Linked DNA regions of Drosophila melanogaster. The protein of the gene in region 1 interacts with the protein of each later gene in a pairwise test. Each region holds a gene or a part of one and is shown in the gene's direction. Other genes may lie near its edges.

The links. The genes of interacting proteins can lie anywhere in the genome.
Region 2: the proteins of CG12730 (region 1) and cni interact in a two-hybrid assay, tested with the Drosophila melanogaster proteins (one large-scale study listed by BioGRID).
Region 3: the proteins of CG12730 (region 1) and CG14086 interact in a two-hybrid assay, tested with the Drosophila melanogaster proteins (one large-scale study listed by BioGRID).

The regions. Positions count from the first base shown.
Region 1 is NC_004354.4:5,514,259-5,520,125, forward strand, and holds CG12730 (uncharacterized protein), read left to right. Parts: upstream 1-2,349; 5' UTR 2,350-3,162; coding exon 3,163-3,240; exon of another isoform or gene 3,241-3,242; intron 3,243-3,313; coding exon 3,314-3,586; intron 3,587-3,785; coding exon 3,786-3,881; 3' UTR 3,882-4,513; downstream 4,514-5,867.
Region 2 is NT_033779.5:16,308,043-16,312,701, reverse strand, and holds cni (cornichon), read left to right. Parts: upstream 1-1,975; 5' UTR 1,976-2,011; exon of another isoform or gene 2,012-2,061; 5' UTR 2,062-2,111; coding exon 2,112-2,261; intron 2,262-2,322; coding exon 2,323-2,435; intron 2,436-2,558; coding exon 2,559-2,702; intron 2,703-2,771; coding exon 2,772-2,799; 3' UTR 2,800-3,410; downstream 3,411-4,659. Other genes in the region: fzy (fizzy), read right to left, coding at 1-821, 875-1,196, 1,290-1,601; Syx5 (syntaxin 5), read right to left, coding at 3,571-4,304, 4,373-4,659. UniProt on the Drosophila melanogaster protein: Acts as a cargo receptor necessary for the transportation of gurken (grk) to a transitional endoplasmic reticulum (tER) site and promotes its incorporation into coat protein complex II (COPII) vesicles.
Region 3 is NT_037436.4:19,274,029-19,281,168, forward strand, and holds CG14086 (uncharacterized protein), read left to right. Parts: upstream 1-1,762; 5' UTR 1,763-2,564; coding exon 2,565-2,691; intron 2,692-4,900; coding exon 4,901-4,961; intron 4,962-5,011; coding exon 5,012-5,086; intron 5,087-5,356; coding exon 5,357-5,605; intron 5,606-5,669; coding exon 5,670-5,796; 3' UTR 5,797-5,891; downstream 5,892-7,140. Other genes in the region: CG14089 (uncharacterized protein), read right to left, coding at 6,098-6,772.

The DNA.
Region 1 (5,867 bases):
AGGAGGTCATTAATGAGGTCTATAGGAAAATGTATTTTCGTTGATTGATTGACGGATTGATTGGCAATTCATTAGCATAAATTACCCGCAGAAACCGAACTTAAAGTGAAAGTACCACCAGCGAAAGCTTAATGCCCTTCGAATCTAGTTATGCTTCGGGCTTTAAATAATATTTTCATTTCAAGTAAATTCGTTTACAACATCATTGAAAGCTGTCGAAGAACAGCAGCTCCATGCACCACAACTGAGATGACAGTAAGCTCGCGAATATGAGATGAGCCTCCAGACAAAGAGATACAGATAGCAAATAAAGGATATTTAAAGAATGGCGGCAAGGACATCCTGTTGCACTTGGCCCATTTGATTGATGACGTTGGCACTTGAGTGCACACGATAATCATTTATAAGGCGCATAAATGTTCTGTTCCCCGGGGGGGAAAAAGCTGGAAAATCCGAGGGGGGAAATGGGGGTGGTTGTCAGCTGGCGGATAAAAAGCGCCCAAAGTCGAAGGGAATATCAGATTCAAATTCACTTGGCAGATATGCTGAGGTCGTTGCTATTTTTGGGGTATTTCGGGATTCGAAATTAGGGGGGGTGGTCTTGGTCTTGTCACGTCAGCTGCAGAGTCTGACAGCCACTGCACGAAATTTGCATTCAAATCGAGCCGTGTATCTGGGCAACTTAGTATCTGTATCTGACAGATACCCAGCTGGCACACTTCTTTGTCGAGGTTGAGAAATGGCTACGGCCCAACTTGCCGCTTTCTTTCGAACTTCCTTCAAAGTGCCTGAAACTAATTATCTGCCTGCTCGCAAACGTTTACTCCAACTTTCGTTTAATTGGTCATAGTTATCGCCAAGTTTGTCATTATTAAAGATGCTTCTGATGCATCTGAAACTGGATTTTTTCAGCCAGAACACTGCTTAATAGCTCACATGTCGCTTTGCCTTTGGTCCTGCTCCACGTTATCCCGTCGCCAAAGCAAACAAAATCTTGCTGATGCAGCAGCTGGCAATTACAGCGAATGCTTTTCTAATTAGATGCACCCACATTTTCCAATTCCCCCCGGCCCCGCCCCCCTCTCTCTCCGCTGCTCTACAACATGGGTGGAAAAGCGATGGAAATTGCCTGAGTGCGTAAGCGAAAAACCAGCCATGTGCATGAATCGTAGGCGAGATATATCACTAAACAATGCACTCTCAGCAACGTGCCACTGAGTATAAGTTGGATATTTAGTTAAAAACTATTTAGATGCTTTTGCTGTTATTCAGTGGTTTAAAGCGCACATTTATAAAGTCCTCTGTGCACTTATCGAATTCAAAGTCCTAAAGAAATCAAAGAAATGTCCATAGGTAATCATAGCTTTTTGCCATTGAGACTCGCACGCCCTCAAGTGTAAATCCGCTCTCCAGTCAATTTTCTTCGCTTTTCCGCCGCACATTTTCCCCGCTTGTCCAGACGATTCGATGCTTATCGATGAGCGCAAATCTCGTGCCTCCCATATTTATGTATATATATATGTTTATACATATATATGCATGAGCTTTTAGAAATCATGTAGACATTAGTTGCCCTGCAGTCGTCTGACTGTTTGTTACCCTCGAAATGGAAACTGCACTTTATCGCTTAAATTGCTCAAGTGCAGTTCATTTATGATTTTCGTGCTCATTTCCGCTTGTTGTGGCCGATTTCCGTCGCATAGATATCTCACTCAGCATTTTCCGCTCTGCATTAGAATATGTGAATCTGTGAAACTGTGAATGTCTCTGAATCTCAGTCAGTCGAGGCGATTGTGCAAGTGACCTTGGCCAGGAGGCGGGGGCCACCCATGCGGCCATTTCGTAAACGAGCCACCTCTCATGAATATGAGTCAATTAATATAACTCAATTTGATGTCGGGCCAGAGTGTTTCGACTGCTACCCTATACAAGTATCTATGCATTTTCAAGAACTTTAACAATTGAATGTGGAAAATAGTACATGAGTAGCGAGAAATCAAAATTAAATGAATGAAAAAATTGTATCTGTAATATCTTTGTAGCTTTGTATCATAAAATTTTTTTCTTTTGTATGGAGTAGTGTGTTCAAAGTTCGTCAAACTTATCTGGCCACCAAATGGTTTGTGTATATTCACGTATTCCGTATGATATGTGCTGGGCAGCTTGTGTTTTGCAATGTGAATCACGACGAAATTGCATTTGATTTTGGGAGGCTCGCATTTGCATTCGCATTCGGATTTGTGCAGCGATTTATCCGTTAAGTAACTAAATCAATTAGCCTGCTGTGCCGATTAAAATAACGAGAAGCGTTTCGGTCATAGCCGATAACAAATACGATTCGAATGGCACAATCTAATGATGCTGGGCATTAAGATACAGATGGAAATTCGAATGCACAGTGGTCCAAAAAGGGCCCAACCTCAAACTGCATGTCACAAGCAATGCCAGTCATAAAAGCTCGGCACTTCACACGACTAAAAAAGCTTTGCTCACCCAGTAACCGGTCACCTTGCCTTATGAATATACATATATTTAATATATCCCTGGAGGTCAGTGAGTCACACCGTGTTAGATTCACCCCTTGACATCCCCCGAACGAAAATTAGTATAATGTAACGAAGAAGCATTCACAATGAACAGACCCCCAAAACTACAGTTAGTAAGACAAGTTAATATGGTTTATTCATTTATTGGAAATTACAGCTTTCTTAAACTAATAATCCTATTTTTTATAAATACCCAGCTAAAGCTAATCTCCTTAATATTTATAGTTTCATTAGATACCATTTGAGTAGATAACACAATTTGTACACAATATGTACTACATTTCCTGATCGTTTCGTCCCACTGTGCCATGTGTTGCTCGCTCTCTGTCTCTCTCTCTCTCTCTCTCTCTCTCTCTCTCTTTCGCCCGCTGCTTCTCTCGCTCTCGCAATTGTAGTTTTATTCGCCGAGTGTAACGATGGGAGAATTCTGAGTATTTGTGTTGTTTGTATTACTTCAGTGGCATTCTGTGCGTGCTGGCGAGCGCAATATGAATTAGTCAGCGGCGCTTCGCTACATTTGCTACATTGGCTTTAATCGCTCGTTTCTGAGGCATCTATTCGGCTGGACAATCTGGATTAACTGCATCCAAAACGTATATATCTTGTATTGGCCGCGATGTCGTTGACGGGAACCCAGGACTACGATCGCAAATACCTGCTCAGCATGCCGGGCCTGTGCAAGCTGGCCTGTTTGGTAATTAGCCTTACACATATGTGCCATTGTGTATCGCCCTTAATGTGTGCGCTTGTATGTGTGCGTCTTTCAGCTGTGCAGCTTTGTTGGAATATTGTGCATCATCTGCGGACCGGTGCGCGTGAGCAATTTCCGCGGCAGTTTCTACCTGGCCGTAGTCACCATCGGATTCGTGGCCACCGGCTGCCTGCTCCTGGCCAGGTATCTCCGGTTGTGGCAGCGCCAGTTCTGCCGATGCGATCCCACGCTCTGGTCCCTGGCGGTGCACTCCTCATTGGCCCTGGCCTACTTCACGGCCTCCGGACTCGTACTCTCCCTGGATATTGGAGCCTATACGGCGGCGGCGGTAAGTGGCGTTCTCGCAGTTAGGATAAGTTCGGAAACCAAAAGTATTACGGCTCATTGTTTCGGCTAATGATTAAGCTAGGAAAGATACTGGTAAACGAAACACTGAGCCTCCAGTTGGAGCCGATTCATTCCCTCGCTGTGATGAACTCTCTGTAGATCCGTCTAATACACCCTATTCTTCACCTTTTTTTTTACAGTTCTTTGGCCTGACAGCATTTTGCATCAACGGACTGGAGGCCTATGGAAACTATCGGCGCAGTCGCCAGCGGGAGGTGGCCACCCAAACGATATAGACTTGGTTTCAGGTGCACGAACCCAGCTTTTGGTGGCTCTTACTACGTTAGGCTTACTCTGTGTGTGTATCTGTGTGAGAGCGAGTATCTGTGTGCGAACGAGTATCTGTGTGAGTGCCAGTGCGTGCGCGTGTGTGTGAGTTTGTTTTGAGAGAGCGAGTATCGCTTGCGTTTGCTTGAAGCATTTAAGTCTGAAGTTTGAAATTGTGGCAAGCTTTTGTCGCGGGAACAGTTACCGTATGTGTTATCTAATAGTCGCTAGATATAGGTCAAGAAGTGAAGAAGATAAAGCCAGTCGATCGCAGCAATAACGTAGATATAATAGCGAACAGAAAGCGAGAGAAAACCACTAACAAGAGAGCAAATTCCAAAGAGATAAGTTGTATTGTGCCTTCTGGCTCTGCTTCTTCCCTTCTTCTGATAACTGGTTAACAATGCGTGAATATATATGTACATATATATACCCGATTTTTTTTTTACTTTTATTAAGTACATAGTATTTGTGTGTCTCAAGTGAATATACATTGAAGTAGTTAGTTTTTAGCACAATGCTTTTCATGACCACTGAATTGTTGTATTTATAAACAAATAAATCGTTTGCAATGGAAGAATAAAACAAAAATACATAAATGTAATTTGTAAATGAAGGGTGTTTTTTAATGATGAGAGTTCATATGCGTAAATTGGGCTTGAATGTCAATTGTTGATCGTGCATATTGTTATTGATTCATTTACGCAAAAGGCCACTTTCCCGAGGCTATTGTTTATTTATTTTACTACACGAACTACTTTTGCGACCATGTTTGCTTGCACAACAAGCTATTTTCACCTAACATTGCCGGATAGAATTTTTGCAACCGGCGCTCCATGAAAAAGATATCGCCAACCTTTGTTTACCTTATCCGCATTGAAACTGAAAATAAACAGGTACACTATGGTGCCCCCCTGTCTGATTTTGCTTCTTGTTTCGTTTTCGTTTTGGTTTCGGTGCTCTGTAAGCTGTTGCCATTGTTGGCTTTTCAAATCTTTTGAACCACCCACAAACGCAACAACCATCATCACCCAACAAGCAGCACCCAACGCCCACAAAAAAGCACTTGGCTCGTCTATTGTTTGTGTTGTTTTTGGGGGCTCCCGCCTCATTATTATTACTTTTGTTGCCAGTTTGATGAAGTTTTCGCCTCGATTCTTGTCTATTTCTGGCACGATTTATTCATAGTTAGTTGTTCGCCAAGCATAAGCAAATTTTCAGCCAAGTACGCTTAACAACGTAATGAAGAGCGCAATATATTCATGTGTTTTATGCCGAAAAGCGCTGGCGTAAAAAAAAAAAAGAAAAACAAAATAAATGTATAGAAATGTAGCCGCATTGCAGACATAATATGGGTTTCGCATTGCTTTACACGTGCAGTAGGCAACCCTGTAAAGTGCTGCAAGTTGCCATGACCACTCATGACCTTGTGCACTTATCGCCTATGTGTACAGAGAAAAACCATGTCCTTTAAAGGGTAATTTCCATTTCCATACAAGCTTCATTTAATTGATATATTTATGTGGTCTTGACTCTGCTCGTAAGTAGATAATTTTTTGCGGTGCTTCCTAGCCCTCTTAGCCAAATGATCATTTAATTATTTCTTCGTCGGCAGCTCTTAGCACTTCCCATACCCTAATGTGCCATAATTTCTGCTCCACCATCGACGCTCTCGGCCATGCAAGTCACGTAAAGTGAAATTAATTAGTCTTGTTTGCCAGTTAGTCGGCCTCCTTTCGGGTTGGCAAGACGAGAAAGTGGAAATGCGGAAAAGCCAGGCAAGGGGTCAATCCTTGAGTGATTGAAATGCAATCGTGTGGACCGAGTTCATATTGAGTTTGTGGAAATGTCATGGGTCCGCACTTCCTGCCAGCAAATGATTTATGCGGCCTGCAATTTGAAAGTTGGCTGGCTTAAAATATTTTCTTTTTTCGCTCATAGAATCGTGGTTAGCA
Region 2 (4,659 bases), on another chromosome or scaffold:
CACTGTGCTGCCGTCCGGAGACATGGCCATCTGGAGAACTCGTGACGTGTGTCCAGTCAAATCGGCTTGCTTCACCATTGTTGGGTATTTCCAAATGGTCAGTTGGTTGTTAGCAAAACCATGCGCAGAGATCAGCTCCTTGTAGTGGCGAGAAAAGAGCAGAGAACAGACCTGCGACTTGGAGTCCACGGATTTCATTAAAGTGCCATTGTTCACATTCCAGAACTTGATGCAGCGATCGGCGGTGCCGCCTCCAGAGGCTAGAGTACTTGGTTGCCAGGGACACCAGGCCAAGGCACGCACTGCAGCTTGATGGTCGTTGAATTTGTGCAAGGGATCGGTGGCAGTTCCCACGCCACCGCTGGCCGCCGACCAAACATTCACCAGATTGTCGTTGCCTCCGCTAGCCAAATACTTGAAATCCGTGGACCACTTTAGGCCGCAAACCTCCTGCGTGTGTCCGGACAATGTGGAAAGCTTGTGCTCACGTGCACGCACATCGTGGTGGACAATGGTGCCATCCCGGCTGCCAGAGGAAACCAGGAATGAGTTCCAGGCCAAGGATCCCACTCGGGCACTGTGTCCATCCATCACTCGCAGACGCTTCACTTTGGAGCAGTCCCACAGCTCCACGGCACCGGTGCTGTTGCCGATGGCAAGTATCTGCCCCTCCTGGATCCACGATAGCGAGCCTGCGTAGTCGCCCTCCTCAAACTCCGTAAGCTGCTCGATATTTCCGGTCTGTGCGTTCCACAAATAGACGCAACTGCCCAAGGCCACAGCCACTATATTGTCGGCACTCCAATCCATAAGATTTAAATCTGGAAGAGATCAATAGTAGAAAAAAAGAAAAGAAAAGTTTTCTTCGACCTACAGTAATCGTTAATAAAATCAGGTGCATCCAGAATCCTCTCGGATGTGGTGGGTATATAGCGTGAGCCACTCTTTGTGGATATGGGTGTCTTAATGGAGTACACGACCTTCAGGGGATTGTTGTGTGTTTCTGGAGCAGCGGGAGCCTTGTTTTGGTAGCACAAAATGCGCCCGCCCTTGGAGTCACCGACCTGGGCCACTTCAGAGATGAGTTTCTGCCGGTCGCCCTTGTGAGCCGAAGCCTGGACATTGCTCTCGTTGCTGTTGCTCGAGGTGGCCTTGTCGTTCTCCTCATCGGACTTATCGCCGGAGTCTTTGTTCACCTAATAGATGGTCAGGTGGTCAATAAATTCTTAAGGGGTCTGGAATAAGGATGCCCTTACAGGGCGGGATGGAGGGATGAGTGGAATCCTTACCAGAAAGTGTGCTAACTCAAAGTTGGTAGCCGCCCGATTCGGAATAAAGCGATCTCCGCCTCCTGGCGTCTTAGAGGGCGTGGTGTTGGACTTCTTGGTCTTGCCCTCGCTGCTCTTGCCCGGAGTTTTCGTGGGCGCCTGGACACCCGAGAAACTGGTGTTGTACGAGACGGATAGCACCGACCGAGTGGTATTCACACTTCCATTTAGAGACGCCTCCAGCTTCTTCTTCCACCTGGGCGCAGGTCCGCGCGTCTCGCCGTCCATGATGAGAGCATTCTGCAAATCGCTCACAAAATTGAACTGCGACATTGTGTTCCGCTCTTTTCTGGTGTCAGTTGATTATCGAATTTATTTATTTATTATTATTAAAAAACAGAAGCTCATAGAACACTTGGATCGAATTTTTTCCAGATTTCGAGATGCAACACAAATGGCGGTTCGATTTGGAAATGTAGTGTGACCGCATCGGCTAACTGTTAGTGGTATTTTTTGTGCGTAGAGAAAATTACCAGAGAATTAAAATTAATACAAAACATTATAATTCGTTAGAAATTAAAATTGCTTCTTTAAATGAAATTATATTTGATTTATAATGGATAGCTGATTATTTATTAGCCTCATTTGCAATGTGACCGTACATCTGTGCTGCCTGATCGTTTAGATTAGTGCATCCCTGGCGCACAGCTGTCATCATCGCCGCCCTTGTAAAAAAAAAACAAGTGAGTCCCAGCGCTACAATTGCAAAGCCGAATTTTACGATAATAATTAGCAAGTCACTTTGATTAGCACCTGGAAGACGTGCTCCAGCGATTTTACAAGATGGCCTTCAACTTCACCGCCTTCACGTACATAGTGGCCCTGATCGGGGATGCATTCTTGATATTTTTCGCCATATTTCATGTCATTGCATTCGACGAACTTAAAACGGATTATAAGAACCCAATTGATCAGTGCAATAGCCTCAATCCGGTCAGTAAACTTACTGCTTACACCCGCAGTGCGCCCTGTAATGTATGTGTTTGCATTTCAGCTGGTTTTGCCCGAATACCTTCTGCACATCTTTCTGAACTTGCTCTTCTTGTTCTGCGGCGAATGGTTTTCGCTATGCATCAACATACCCCTCATAGCCTATCATATTTGGCGGTAAGTGACTCATTTGACCGTGTGATATAATGTGATTTGAGATCCGAGGAGATCAAGATTCACCCAAGCCCAACATAAGCACCCTTAAGCACTCATGCTTTGTAATACCCCTATCGCTTTCAGTTACAAAAACCGCCCTGTGATGTCGGGACCCGGACTTTATGATCCCACCACGGTCCTGAAAACCGATACTTTGTACCGGAACATGCGTGAGGGTTGGATTAAACTGGCCGTCTATCTGATTAGCTTCTTCTACTACATATACGGGTAAGTCTAATTGAGATTCATTGTGGCCAGGGTCCTCATTTGTCTAACGTTTCTAATTGCTAATTTTAGCATGGTTTATTCGCTCATCTCGACATAGGCAAGCTCTTGCCTGGGGATCTCAGTGTTGGCGCCAACGCATCAGCGTCGTGTATTAGTTGTCTAAACTCGGGTAGAGGACTTCCTTTTTTGGGGAAGAGTCCCCATCAACCGCGAACAATACTTCACTTGTAAATTCTAGTGTAAATCCATAAAGACATCTTGAAGCTTTGTTTTTTTCATACAATTTGTAATACTTTTCTGCAGTAAGAGATTGTAACATGTTTTTATTTTGATTATTTTTTGCATATCGCATCTTTGGTGTAGTTGGATTTTAAGCATTAAATAAAAGTCAAATCAATGTAACCAATTTTCATTTTTCTGTTTAGCATGAGGGACAGCGGAATTTTTGGCTAAACACGACGAACATGGAGCAACGAGCACTTAAGATAATAAAGATTATGAAAGGGCACTTAAACCTTATCAGCAGGGCAAACATAGATATAGTCTCTCTCCAATTTGATACTTGCATTACACGTTTTCTAAGGTAATATACAAGTTTCTTACATCAGCAAACATATTTATCATTCGGCTTTATATTTTGGAAATTATATTTAATTTTAGAGCTTCCATTAGAATGGAAAAATTCACCAAAGAACCACATGCTAAAATAAATGTATTTTGCTTTAGAACGTATTTATAACTTTATTTTACAATCGTTTCGGGAGGCCACAGCTTGGAATAAACAATATTGTGATTGAATCTTGATTAAAATAAAAAGCTGTATACATGGATAGGTACATGGGGCTTTTAATGGGCAACTGGCGTTTGATTACGACATAAAAACAACGAAGAACAAGAAGAAGAATATGAGAACGCCGAAGATTTTGATCATCAGCCAGCGATTTTTGGAGACGGATTGAAAGTATTTCAAGATCTCCCCATGGGCAGCCTCAATATTCAATTCCGCATCCGCCACATTCGTGTCAATACGCTCCACGATCTCTTCCTGCTCCTTAACCATATGTGCCAGCTGCTGGAATATTCCGCCGAGCTCAACGATGGTAGATTCTATATTTTGCATGGTCTCCGCCCGCTGCTGGACGTAATTATCGGAATCATCGTAGATGGCCATCTGTGTCTGGGTTGATAGGAGTGGTGTGGTATCGCTGCTCCCCATATCTATGCTGACCGCTTGGTTTTCCTCGCTGAGAAGCAAAGATCCCTGCTTGGCTGTCGAGGGGGAGACGGTGTGCGCGGCCAACGGACCTGGTCCCTGGCTAAACTGATCACGTCGCGTCTTCTGCTGCTTGAGGTTCTCCGTGCGCACCTCCAGGATTTGCTTGAAGTCCGTGCTCATGCTGGCCAGTTTCGATTGCAGGGCCAGTACCATGTTAGAGGAATGTGACACCAAATGCTTGCCGTTTGTGTGACGCCGCTGATCCTTGGAGATGTCCTGCAGTCGGGCAATTTGTTGATTTAAGGCATTTAGGTCGCCTTTGATGATATAGGTCAGCTCCTGAATCTCCTGCGGTCTGTCATCAAATAAGCTCTTCTTTTTGGCCACTAAAACGAAGATGGGAATTTTAAAGTTTTGAATATGACTTTAAGGGGTTACTAAAACATGTACTTACACATTGTGAGCTTCTCCAGTTTTGCGTAGGTGCTGGCTATGTTCTTGCCAATAAACCTGGCGACCATCATGAACTCCGAGTAGCTCTGAACCTGCTTAGCTTTGCGGGGATCGCGTATATTCACTGCCCGGGTGATATTTCGAGCCTGCAGGGAACGAATCGCATTGGCGAACTCGCCCGTTCGATCGCGTGCGGCCATGACGAATATTTCTGGTTCGGGTTCCGTTTCCTGCGGCTCCTCCTTCGATTGGTAAAACTGTGAACTAGTCGGAATGGAAGCGGGGTAG
Region 3 (7,140 bases), on another chromosome or scaffold:
AAGTGAGGAGGACACCAAATTGGATCAATAAATTATAAAAAGCCTTTTTTAAATGGCTACAAAGTAATTAACTCTAACCATATCTAAAAGACATTAACTAACAAACAAACATTACAATAAATGTAAAATTTTGTTTTTGCAAATTACAACTTTTTTCATTGTGTACAGTGTAAGACCAATTGCAAGCATAGAAGACCTGGACAAACGACTCCAACTGCAGGAGGCGGTATCAAGGACGACCTTCAGAAGTATTTCGCTAGAATCCTCGAGCTGTTCCTTAAGGAAATTAACTTTTCAGAGTGTGGGGCATCTGTGAATTATGTCGTAGATGGCGGCGACAGTGGAGACTTTCCTTGGGGCGACGGCTGCCACTTTGGATGTCATTAACGCCGCATAATGCAAACAAGCCTGACGACAGACACCTTAGCAAATGCACAGGACAATAAGCGGAGGAGCTAAAAAAATATTTACTCGTGCTTCCCCTCTCCTGAATTTGGCCCCCATTTAATTTATGAGGATGAGGGCGGTGTAGCAACCGAAAATGTTTTTGTCCACATTCTGCGTACTCGTCCGCCTCTTGGCAATTGCTCAGCTTTGCTCCTGGTTGTCTTTTGAGCTTCTTTACACCTCCCGCCGCTCCGCTCACCATTCAGCCAGTTATGAAAATTACTGAAACGTGGCCAAAGACGGGTGCGGGGATCCACAGGACCTGCAGGACGAGGGCACGCACACACAGAGCCGCTTGAGCAGTGGCAACAACATGAGGCACTGGCTTCACACACAGGACAACGTGACAAATAAAATCAAGCTGGCTTTGAGCAGTGGGCCGAGAATCCTGTTTTAGGCTTAAAACTTCAATATTTGTAATAGTTAAAGATTATCTTTACACCTGGTAGAATATTTATCAAGTGCATATAAGTAAGATTTTCGTTGTGTAAAATCGTAGGTAAATTTCATACTTCCCTCTTCTTTTACATTTGGAAAAATCGTAATCAAGTAAGCATTCGGGTGGGAATATATTTAAATCACACACAATATTAAGCTCTCGCCCATGGTGCCTTCTTGTAAAAAACCGCAGGACTATAAAGACTGACCCAATGCGCTACGCTACACAATAAATCGCGAGAGGAAACACTTTTTACAAAAAAAAAGAGATAAAACATACAAACAGTTCTAATTAAAATACTGAAGACAAAAAGAAAATTAATTATTTATTTGAGTTCCTTAATTATATTAACAATGTAATTCAAAAATTGTATTCCTACTACAATACTAAAAAAAAACCAAGTTAAATAACTTCTGATTGAAATTAAAGCATTATTCTAGTTAAAAATCAGCCCTATATTCTTGCTTTCAATTAATATATTTCAAGAGCATAGTTTTAAAGAATTCTCATACTGCCAACGCCAAATAAGTTTTCAAATACAAATGATAGTGGATGTCAAAAACAGCTAACCAATTAAAAACATCTTTAAAACAACATGGATAAATTTTGCGGTCTCCATAAATCTCAGCATTAAATCGCAAAAACGCATTTAAAAAGAAATAAACACTACGCGTTCGTTCTCGTAACAAATCAACTTAGCAGTTTCGAATGCAGCGCCGCCCCATTGGCTGGTATTTGGCTACAAAGTCAGTGGCAGTAGGAAAAGCAATGGGAAAAGCAGCCTGAGCGGCGACTCTGGATCCTGACTCCGAAAATAGAAACGAATCCTGGCCGGTCCTTTCATTCAGTTTCATTCTGCTGGCGCCGCTGGAAGCGTGCGGACGTTCGTTGTTTAGAGCTCGGCCATAAAGTCGTGTGGCAAAGTGGCACTTGACAAAAATAAAAAAAGTTACAAACCTTCAACAACAATAAGAAAAATATTTAATAAAAAAAATATATATTATAGAGGGCACACAACGTGCGGGGGCAAAGTGCAAATGGTAACGGTAATTTGCAGACATTAGTTGCCACACACACACACACACACACACACAAGCAAACGGTGCGGTGATTAAAGGCAATGGAAGGAGAGGTGCGAAAAATGTCACATTACGAATACGCAGTGTGTGCCCGAGTTAAATGGTGAAATTTAAAAGCTGTGCGAGCTGGAATTGAAAATATTTATCGCAAAGTTGTTTGGCCACTTAGTATGCCAGGCACGTAGTGCATTTTTGTGATGTGGATACGGCTCTTTGATTGTTTTATTAGCGATTCCCTTGGACAGGACCTAAAACGTCAGTTTCGGATGAGAGTATTTAAAGTTATGGAGGATTAGAAAGTAGTACATTGAAAATTTGAATTTAACCAAAAACTAAAATTGTTCTAAAGTGAAATTAAAAACGAATAAATATATTAAATAAATTGGAAATTAAGTAAGTGGAGCTTACACATTAATCAAAAATTTAAATGCTATGGCTTCGACTTTTGTCATCAGTAATAACGAAGGAGAAGAAAAACTTGAGCTCCAATAAATAAGATATTAAGAATAAAGCCGCACTTTTGGCGATTCATAAAACAAATATAGATAGAAATTCATAAAGTAAATATCTATATATATATATATATAACCAAGTCAGCCATGAGCCAGATGCAACTGCAATCGCAGCGCGTTCGCCGCGCCCGTCATCATCGCCGCAATCAGTCCGCAGAGCCGTGCGAGTGCCTTCGTCCTGTGATAAGGGTTTTTGGTCTGCTGACTTCATTCGGTAAGCTCAAGTGCGCGGAAATCCGAGCCAGTGGAATAAGACTTGTCGGTGCCGGTGCCCAGGTGACCCCCGTTTCGAGATAATGCCAATCTCGATACGAGGCTATGATGCATGTGCATGTGCATGCATTTATGTATGAATGTGCAATGCTTTTCTGGCCCTTATTTGGAATGTTTACCCTTGACAAATCGTAGGAAATACTTGTGCATGGGAACCATTGCCTCGGGATATGTTGAGTGCTGTGGCTTATTATATTTCTTGGCACTGAATGGGATTCGCAAGACGAAGACGATGCTGAATGGGGACACGCTCTTATTGGCTGCTTTTATTGTTCCTTTCAATTCATATAATATTACTCTTTGAGCAATATTTTCATTGTACACAAAGGTTTTGCATTTGTTTGAGAAGACTGGCAAAATAAATGTACATAAAAGGAAATGGTTTTCCATATTCACAGAGCACATATAGCACAGAATATGTGCTCTAATGAACAGGATATTTGACCTAATGTAATTTGGTAAAATAAATAAATGCCATCCAATACTACTGAAATTCCAGTTTAGCTTAACAATTAAATAGAACACAGAGAGTAAATTGGTAGAAGATTAATTTCCCTTTTTTTGCGTCATTTAATTACAATTCAATTATGCTTTTTTTGTACAACCCAGCTTTGTGTTACATTTTTTCCGTTTAAATTGAGGCAATAATTTTAGATTGACAGCCTGAAATTTAATGGCATTTCGTTTGTCAATTTACGAAGTCAAATTTAATTTATTAAACAGGCAAGGTAAAGTGAAGCAAAAACTTAATAAATAATAATATTACCTTTCTGAAATGAATTCAGTTTGGTTGCACAACGTAACTTTTTCACCCTGTATCCGCATTCTAATCTACGAAAATGCAATCACATTTTTTCATCCCAATTTTTCTGCCATCTGGTGAAGTTATCAAAGTTGGCTTAAACGCTTATCGTGGCCAATCATAACGATTTTCCTCCACCATCTGACATTTTCCTAATGCGCTTAAGATAGTGCACCGCCGTTTTTTTATACAGAATTTGATAAATCGCCCAGCTGCAGGCAGGCCAACAAAAACTTCGGGTCAAGTTCAAACTAATTTCTTTGCAAATTGTTTTGGGGTCCATCATGGGTGCAGTGGCACGCAGGAAAACAAAGTATAAAATCTCTGTAGTTCATAAGCTCCGCATTATAGGGATCGGGTAAGAGGGATGGGGTTTTCCAAGGAAACTCTCTGGCAGAGCCATTAACAAGGCATTGGCCTCTATGCAGCTTGCAGCTTGCAGCTCACGACTGGCATCCTGTGCCAAGAGCAGAGTTTTCCCAGCCCGATTTTCCCCTTATCAGCAACTTTTCCATACGGTCGACAATGAGCTGTGTTGTTAGCCTTTAGGCGCCAGCCATTCGCCAAGTTTTCCTCTTGCCCGGCATCTATTTTTCCCCCACCGCTTTCAATTATCCAGATAATTTTTGCATGTTTTTTCGATTTCCGCTTTTTCAATTTTTATCTCCGTTGACAGCATTTAATGTAATTGGTTTGGTTTCGGTTCTGCAGTTGTGCTTAAATATGGGGCATACATATACATATATCTAACTGGCTAATCTGATTGGTTTTTCGCGACCCGGCATAATAAAAACAACTTAATTAGATTGTATTTTTATGGACCACTGGGCGTGGTGGCTCCATAACCACATCTAACCATATCTTATACACTCAAAGTGGATTTGGCTAAGACAAAATGTGAAGCGGAACCATAATGTGGTTAGAATATGAATGCCCTGCGGAGGGCTGTTCGACAAAAATATAGAAACCTTTTAAGTTATAAAATTTAAGTTCGTCATGAATATTGAAGTTTCTTCCAAGCTATTTATTATTAATTATCATTATGTTATTTCGTAATGTGTAGGACATTGCCTTCTTAAAATACTCTATTGCAAATGATGTAAGCTTCAGTAAAATTGCGATAAACTTCTTGAGCTCACCTCGTTTCCATTCATTGGTTTTGTATTACATTTTATGGCCAAAGCATGGTAAACAAAAAAGGCCCAGCTCAATAAATATGCTTATAAATATATTTGCCTAGACACACTCACATTATTTTATAGGCTCGTTCAAGGATAACACTCCTCGTTTCAACCCGCCAAAAAGGACCCCCCGCACCGAACCTTTCTTTAGCCATTTTTCATTTCAGTTATCTGCGGCGTTGGCGTTGATGTCTACATGCATGGCTATCGGGCCGGTCTTTATATAGTGTAAGTCACGGATCTAAATATCCCCCATAACTATACTAATTTCTGGTTAGTTTTTCAGCCGTGCTGGTAATGTTTATCGAGATCAAGTGGCTTGTGACTATCTTCCTGCAACTTCAGTGCGCAGAGTAAGAAAACTATTCAAGATTACCAAATAACATGTTCATAAATTATAGTTATTCGTATATATATTATTTGATAATTAGCAGTTATTATTTATGAAATATAGAAATTCTAGTTACCAAGCCTAGTAGTTGTAAAACTAATTAAACCCTAATTATACTATAATATGATATACTTTACTATTATATACAATACTCTATATCAAGTGCCTTTGCTCAGATTTTTCTCTGCAAATTTTTCTCTGTTCACATATTTGTGAATTCAATTTGTTTCAGGGATAATTACCAGCGAAGGTCCTGCAGCTGCTTGGCCTGCTGGCGACTTTCAGCGATTTGTGGCGGTTGGCGACCCACTCCTGTTTATGCGGTCATCGGCATCTGCCTGATCCTGTATCCCCACAATCTGTGGCTGAGTTATGTGGCCGGGATGTTCCTGATACTCCTCGGACTCCTCAGACTGTGCACGCTGCTCCGATTCAGCGCCTCGAAGGAGGAGGGTCTCCTGCCGCAGTGCGACTTTGAAAAGTGATGCCAGCCAACGAATGTCTTTGTTATTTGTTTCTAATGTCTGTTTGTTCTGCGATGATAGGGTGTCGAGCTTTGTGGATACCATGGAGGATGATTTCGCGGAGATTGGTGCCACGCAAGCGGGATTGGATGAGGAAGCGGAGGAGGAGGGCGACGACCACACCGCCCTAGACGACGATGTTTGCTAATAGTTTAAGCCAGCTTTTCTGCCTAATGTAATGTGAGATTTTAAACGACTTAACAAATGTCTAATAATATACAGTTTGTAAAGAGGTTTCGATTTAAACGCTGAGTGCGTGGTATATTTTTATAGGTAATCGATAAACCCACACTTTGTATGATTTTTGGTGTCATTTATAAACGAAGCCACTCAAAAGTCAAAAAGGACATTCTTCAAAAGAATTTTGAAAGTTCCTTTTAAGTATTGGGTATCTGCTTTTTACCTACAGAAATAATTATCAAAGCTATTTCGTTTTAAATAATGTTATTTTAATTTCGTCTTTTATTGTTTTTTGTGCTAAACGGATTTCTGCGTTCACTAAAGGCCAAAATGAAGGGCTGGTCGTCGAATTCTTCGGTTTTTCTCAGACCAAAAGAACGCTCATTGCCGTAATCATACTCGTCCTCATCATAGTAGTTATAGTAGTGCCTCTGGTGGCCTTTAGGGCCTCCATGTCCATGTGATGGAGGAGGAGGAGGTGGAGGATACGGATACGGTGGATATGAACCTCCGGGATATCCAGGAGGACCCTGAGGACCAGGTTGGCCAGGGATTCCAGGCATCCCGGGGTGGCCCTTATCTCCACGCGGCCCCTTCTCGCCGGGATCACCCTTGGATCCTTTGGGGCCGGGATAGCCCTTCTGCCCCGGCTGTCCCGGTGGACCAGGTGGACCTGGAGGACCGGGCGGACAACCGCATGGCTGTGGCTGAGGATACGGATACGAATAGCTTGGCGGATAGTGTGGCGGATGATAATGTTGATGATCGTGATCCTCCTCTATGATCACTTCCTGTGGCGGGGCTGGAGCGGGACTTCCAGTTTGGAGGGTGATCAGCCGGGGCACTGAGGCATCATCCTTGGCGAAAACTCCCCCAAGAACAGACAGTAGTGCCACCAGCAGAATAGTCCAGTTCGCAGAGAGAACTTCCAGATTCGACGACATGCTGTGAACTAACGAAAATCAGATCGCAGTCACTTCTTTTATGTGGATAAATGCGTTTGAAAAATGGCAACAGAGGAGAATCATTCAAACTCCCGTTAAGATAGCTCATTTGAGATCTATATGTCTTGTCTTACGATCGCATTATATTTGTATCGTATGCTAATTTCTCTTGTTTAATAAACCAAGCCATTTATTTATAAAGTATCTGATTTGCATAATATTCAATGAATGAGTTGAGTTTTTGGGCTGATGAAAGAACTTTCACACCAAATGGATGTCGGACTTTGTGATCGAGCCATGAAAAGTGAATTCTCGTATTCTAGGATAGATCAATTAACAGGTATATGTATATCATTTCTGCGCGTAAA